Kluyveromyces lactis: one gene and its partner. The protein of the gene in region 1 purifies or fractionates together with the protein of each later gene. This does not show direct contact. Links are inferred from orthologs where the notes say so. Each region holds a gene or a part of one and is shown in the gene's direction. Other genes may lie near its edges. The genes, in order: COA1 and COX1.

The links.
Region 2: the proteins of COA1 (region 1) and COX1 purify together in Saccharomyces cerevisiae (affinity purification with western blotting, with the first as the bait; 4 studies listed by BioGRID). This does not show direct contact. The link is inferred for Kluyveromyces lactis from reciprocal best matches to the Saccharomyces cerevisiae genes COA1 and COX1.

What each region holds. Positions count from the first base shown.
Region 1 is NC_006042.1:1,009,309-1,011,898, reverse strand, and holds COA1 (Coa1p), read left to right. Parts: upstream 1-1,267; coding exon 1,268-1,810; downstream 1,811-2,590. Other genes in the region: KLLA0_F10978g (uncharacterized protein), read left to right, coding at 1-420; ATG44 (mitofissin), read right to left, coding at 613-825, 980-988; AIM20 (Aim20p), read right to left, coding at 2,126-2,590. UniProt on the Saccharomyces cerevisiae protein: Required for efficient assembly of cytochrome c oxidase in the mitochondrial inner membrane. Involved in a step coupling MSS51-dependent cotranslational insertion of COX1 to the addition of its heme A and copper B cofactors.
Region 2 is NC_006077.1:30,826-35,459, reverse strand, and holds the start of COX1 (cytochrome c oxidase subunit 1), read left to right. Parts: upstream 1-1,726; coding exon 1,727-2,435; intron 2,436-3,975; coding exon 3,976-4,237; exon of another isoform or gene 4,238-4,238; intron 4,239-4,634. Other genes in the region: COX2 (cytochrome c oxidase subunit 2), read left to right, coding at 1-524. UniProt on the Saccharomyces cerevisiae protein: Component of the cytochrome c oxidase, the last enzyme in the mitochondrial electron transport chain which drives oxidative phosphorylation.

The sequences.
Region 1 (2,590 bases):
CCGAATGGACTTCATGGACATAAGAGGAAACAAACAAAGAGAAGAGGTAAAAATGAATCCAGAAACTCTAGTGCTGCAGGATCGACAGGAAATACACCAGCTGAAGATTTTGATCGCAATGGACCCAAGAATAAAGTAACCCCAAGCACCGTGTCCTCAATATCAATTATGGAAGAAGATGGTAATGATTTCTGGGAGAATCTACGCTCACTGGGAGGTAACATTGGCAGTGATGGAAAAAGCTCAGAACGGAAGTCTCCTAGTATTTCACACATAAATGATCTCTTTCAAAATACAGAAAATGCTGCTGATACACCAACTGGCTACGATGCCATCTTTAAATTTTGCGAGCAGAAGCAAATGGACGACAAGCAATCAACCGAAGAAGTTGTAGCTGAATTCGCCATCAATCCAAGCTGAAACCAGCAATGTATCATTACACCGAACTTTAATTTTCAAAACCACTTAAATATATAATGAATATACTAACTATAAATATATGTTAAGGACTTACAATCACATCTGTTTCATTCATAGCTAACCCGTTATAGCGAAAAGATCACACAAAAAAAACAAATTAAGTTATTAAAGGGGAACTTCGTCTTTTGTATCTCATTTCCTCTGGAAATATGATGAAGATCCTAGAGTTGCCACTGTATAATCATATACTGACTCTCCCAAGTTCAAATATTTCGTGGAATATTCCCTAACGGTAATATCGCTAATGTGATCAATCTTAGGGGTCAATCCAGTATTTCTCTTAATACCTGCCAAGCAGGTAGAAATTAAAACAGCATCAATAGCCAAATGTACAGTTTTACCGATCTTAAATTAGTCTTGCTCATCCAATTCACACTCTTTCCTTCTTCCTCTTCGGAAGGAATGAGCGCATTTCATAGCATAGATGTTAGTATCTTTTAGACATATAATCGTAGCAATACGATTGACAACCCAAACTAGGCTTCATAGCATAACATACAAAGGTCATTTTAGGGAATAAACGTGGTTTATTTGAAGACACCTCGTCTTTGTATATTCTTTTGGCCACAGATGATTTCCTGTTTGCTGATTTGACTCAAGTTTCATACCTTTTTCTCGATTCATTGTTTGATTTCTACTATGAAATGATATTATAAGAAGATCCGAGTATTTGAAAAATTTAGTCGAAGAAGCTGGCCAGTACAACATACGATGATTAGGAAACAGGGAAGGGACATTGCTACACAATCCGCCAACACCAGCACAGGCTAGAAACTCCATATTAACAATGTTTAGACGCATCCTTGCACCAAGATCCGGAATTTCTGTGAGCAGAATACTTACAAGGAGGTTTTTGGCCTCTCAAGAACCAGAGATTATATTAAAAGACAAGTTTAGACCAATGAGAATCGATAGAGAGCTACCAGACCCAACTAAAGATGTCAACAAGAGAAGACTCCAGTTTGTTGGGTTCATTGTTCTAATGACCTCAGCATTGGCTATGATTTTTAACTATGAGAAGACACAGTCTCCGGTTATTTCCAATACCCTATACCATATGCGTCGTTCGCCTAAGATTAGAGAAGTTCTTGGTGATCAGATAGATTTCGATGGGCTCGTTCCATGGGTCTCTGGGGAGCTTAATCAAGTTGCTGGTAATGTCAATATCAAGTTTTACTTGAAGGGTTCCAAGGGTAAGGTCGGTGAAGTTCGATTAGTTGCAGACAGAGAGAACCAACACCAAGAATTTTTCATCCACGAATGGAGTGTCAAGGTTGATGACAAGAAATACGATCTATTAGAGGAAAGCGGTGGTGCTAAAACTTTATAAAAGTGTATTTTTCAACTGAGAATTCATTATTTATGTATCATTTTATCATAATGCATTAGCCCTTATTCTCCCTTGTAAGCTAACTGTGTACTTTTCCTTTCGTTATATCTTGTAAATATTAAATACACAGATTAAAATAGTAATAATAATAATAACAATGATGATAGTAATAGCAGCTCCAATATGGTATGAGTCTACCGGTTGGCAAACAATGGTTAATGAGATTTTTTTTTTTCGAGTATGTGAATTTCTCTCAGCCAGGAGATGAATGGATTTCCTCCATGGAGTGACAGATAGTACCATTTTACGGTTGCCTTATGTTTGTCTTTTTGGTCTCAAAGAATCGATAAATTCCCTTTTATTCTCCGAGTAGTTCGTGAACTCATTTTCGTACTGATCTTCTTCAGCAATGTGATGATCATCTCTGATATCGTAATTATTCTGTAGCCTATATTGTTCAGATGAATCGTTTTCCGCTGGTAAGGTCAACACTTTAGAACCTTTCGGCGTGTCGAATACATTCTCTATTATAGGTTTTGAATTCGTACTTGGAGAAGACATGTGTGTATGCAGCGATGTTAACGAATGTCTCGACGAAATGATAGAGTTATCAGCGTTATTAATATTATGATTGTTGATGGCATTATTATTATTCATACCGGAAATTTGTACTGACGAACCTCGCCTTGGATATGCACCCAAATCGAGTGTTCCGATCGTTTTTAGTAGAGTTTCATTCGATGAATTTCTCCTGGGCACAGATCCCTCGTCAAAAATGGA
Region 2 (4,634 bases), on another chromosome or scaffold:
GTCAAACTATTGAAATTATTTGAACAATTTTCCCTGCTGTAATTTTATTAATTATTGCTTTCCCTTCATTCATTTTATTATATTTATGTGATGAAGTTATTTCTCCAGCAATGACTATTAAAGCTATTGGTTTACAATGATATTGAAAATATGAATACTCAGATTTCATTAATGATAATGGTGAAACAGTAGAATTTGAATCATATGTTATTCCTGAAGATTTATTAGAAGATGGTCAATTAAGATTATTAGATACTGATACTTCAGTAGTAGTACCTGTTGATACACATATTAGATTTGTTGTTACAGCAGCTGATGTTATTCATGATTTTGCTGTACCTAGTTTAGGTATTAAAATTGATGCAGCTCCTGGTAGATTAAATCAAGTATCAGCTTTAATTCAAAGAGAAGGTGTATTCTATGGACAATGTTCAGAAATTTGTGGACAATCACATTCAGCTATGCCTATTAAAATTGAAGCAGTTTCATTACCAGCATTCTTAGAATGATTAAATGAACAATAATTATATAATTTATAATTAATAAATTATATATAATAATATTCTTTCCCTGCAAACCCTACAATATTATTAGGGGTTTCCCCACGGTCACCTTCCCGACCCACAAGGAGACGGGGATTCTTACTTATTTTATATCCCGCGGATTCATGTTATGAATCCGCGGAATTATTATATTATATTATATTATATTATATTATATTTTTAAATATAATAATAATTATATATAAATAAGAGTATAAAAATAATTTATTGATCTCATGCTATACTCCCCCCCCTTCCTGTCGCACACGATTGGTGCGCAGATATTGAAGGGGGGGAGTAGGGAGTAATAAATTTAGGATAACCATTATTATAATAATTAATTATTATAATAATATTTTTCCCCCGCGGTCTCTCACCCTACGAATGTAGGGTGATGAGCCGCGGGGTAATTCTTATTTATTATATATTATAATATTAATAATAAACCCCCGCGGACTCCTTTAAAGGAGTCCGCGGGAAAAGTATTATCCGCGCCTCATCCATTATAAAGGATGAGGCGCGGATTAATATACATATATATATTTTAATATAATTATATATTATATTTATTTATAATATTATTATTTATTATATAAAATAATACTAATGAGGGGGGCTTATTTCCCACCATATGGTGGGAAATAAGCCCTACCTAATATATTTATTTATTTTTTATTATTAATATAATTAGAATAATATTTTTCTTTAAGAGGCTTATTATATATTAATAGAATAATTATTCCGACTATTCACATAATATCTATTAAATTAATTAATATAACCCCCGCGGTTCCTCCCCACCCCTTTAAGGGGGGGGTGAAACCGCGGGGAAATGTATATTTTTACCGATCTGCATAGTAAATTGGTAAATTTATATATTTTTATATATATAAATTATATATAAGTAAGATAAAACTTATTTATCCCCCGCGCTCCCTTCCCATCCCATAAAGGGATGGGAAGGAGCGCGGGGGTCAAGAATTTATCTATAATTATATAATTATAATAATAATTATATATAACTAATTAATTAATTAATAATAAAAAACATAATGTATATTACATACTAATCCCGCGGCTCCCCCCCCCCTTCAGGGGGGGAGCCGCGGGTAAATATAACTAATAATAATAGTTTATTATATTATATATTTTAAATATAATATAATAATTATAAAAATAAATTAATGATCGAAAGATGATTATATTCTACAAATGCTAAAGATATTGCTGTTTTATACTTTATCTTTGCTATTTTCTGTGGTATGGCAGGTACTGCCATGTCTTTAATCATTAGATTAGAGTTAGCCGCACCAGGTAATCAAGTTTTAAGCGGAAATCATCAATTATTTAATGTCTTAGTAGTTGGGCATGCGGTCTTAATAATTTTCTTCTTAGTAATGCCGGCATTAATTGGTGGTTTTGGTAACTATATGTTACCTTTATTAATTGGAGCATCAGATATGTCTTTTGCAAGATTAAATAATATTTCATTCTGATGTTTACCACCTGCTTTAGTATGTTTAGTAACTTCTACATTAGTAGAATCTGGTGCAGGTACTGGATGAACTGTATATCCTCCATTATCATCAATTCAAGCACATTCAGGACCTAGTGTTGATTTAGCAATTTTTGCTTTACATTTAACATCTATTTCATCATTATTAGGTGCTATTAATTTCATTGTAACAACATTAAATATGAGAACAAATGGTATGACAATGCATAGATTACCATTATTTGTATGATCTATTTTCATTACAGCATTCTTATTATTATTATCATTACCTGTATTATCAGCAGGTGTTACAATGTTATTATTAGATAGAAACTTCAATACTTCATTCTTCGAAGTAGCAGGTGGTGGTGACCCTGTTTTATACCAACATTTGTTTTCTATGCCATTTTATATAGTAATTTATGATTATAAATATAATATTAATTTATGATTATCTTCATTTAAAAATTTAGAATTTAATCAAGATAAATTTTATTTTGATGAATTTAATTTAAAATATAAAGAATTTAAACCTATAAATTCTGTTCCTGATCAAAAATTTTTAGAATGATTTGTAGGATTTTTTGAAGGTAAAGGTTCATTTATTTTAATAAAAAGAAGTGATATTTCTGTTGTTGTAACTTCTAAAGATATAAAAATTTTAAATTATATTAAAAATAATTTTAATATAGGAGATGTAATTTTACAATCTAAAAAAGATATAACATATAGATGAGTAGTACATAAAAGAAGAGATATTTATTTATTATCATTAATTTTTAATGGTAATTTAGTATTACCTACTAGATATGGTAAATTTATAATTTTTTTAGCTAAATTAAATGAAAAATTATTAAAAAATAATGAACCTATAATTATTTTAAAAAATTATTGTAAATTACCTACTTTAAATGATTATTGATTATCTGGATTTACTGATGCTGAAGGTTGTTTTGATATTTCTTTAAAAGATAATAAAAATACACCTAGATTTTTATATGCATTAAGTCAAAAACATATTGTTAATAAATATGTATTAGAACATATTTTAAATTTATTTATTGATAAATCTAATACTAATTCATTATATAACATTAATAGTGAAAAAAATATTGGTAAAGTTTATTCTAATTCTAAAGATGATAATTGACAATTATGAATTTCAGGATTAAATAATTGTATTTTTATTTTAAATTATTTTAAAGAATATCCTTTATTATCTGATAAATCTAATAGTTTAGATAAATTTATTCATGTAATAAATTATTATAAACAAAATAAACCTTTAAATGAAGAACAAAAATTATATATTAAAAAAATATCTAAACCCTGCGCGACATCACCCGACCCTCATAAAGGGTTGGGTGAGTCGCGCAGGGAATTAATTAATAAATAATCATATTTTATTAGTATAAATAAAAAATATTGAAACAAAGGAAATAGTTTAACTTAAGTTAATTAGAAAAGATATAACAATGTTGATATGAAAAATAAAAAGATTATATCTCTCTTAATATATATATATAAATTAAGAGACTAAATATTTATTATTCTCTTATTCGGACACCATCCAAGGGATTTACCTTTTTTAATACCCCCCCCATATCTTCTTCCCAGCTAAGCTGATAAGAAGATATGGGGAGAAGAGATAAATATACTATTTTCTAGTATTATATATATATTATATAATGCAACATTGGTGGTACGGTCAACAATTTCTCAGATTTAGACCGTCGGTTATAATATATATAATTATATATTCTGATCGCTACAGACTGCTTCACCAATGGGTGATATAATAATATTGCTTAATGTACAGTCGGAATCACTTATTAATAATAAGGTCATATATTATATATGAGATATATATTATAGAGTCTACCCGTGCTATTATCAAAAATAATATTTGGGGAAAAGATAATATATTATTTAGATTTGGATTCTTTGGTCACCCCGAAGTTTATATTTTAATTATTCCTGGATTCGGTATTATTTCACATATCGTATCAACTTATTCTAAAAAACCAGTATTCGGTGAAGTATCAATGGTATATGCTATGGCTTCAATTGGATTATTAGGTTTCTTAGTATGATCACATCATATGTATATTGTAGGATTAGATGCAGATACTAGAGCTTATTTCACATCGGCTACAATGATTATTGCAATTCCTACAGGTATTAAAATTTTCTCATGATTAATAAACTCCTTTAGCAAGAGTATTAAGTTGATCAAAAAATATATAAAATATATATATATTAATAATAATCATAATAATAATAATAATAATAATAATCCCCGCGGTCAGTCACCGGTTATCGGTAACATGACCGCGGGGATAAATAAGATTTATAATAATAATTCTTATAATTCTTATAATAATAATAATAATTATTATAATAAAAAATTAACAATTTATGGTACTAATTTATATTCAAATTTAATAAATAAAGAATATAATAATACTATAATAATTAAATATATAATTAAAATTCCAAATAATATTATATATATAATTAATGGAATTTTATTAACAGATGGTTGAATTGAATATAGTTCAAAAAATACATTAATTAATAGTAGATTAAAATTTAAA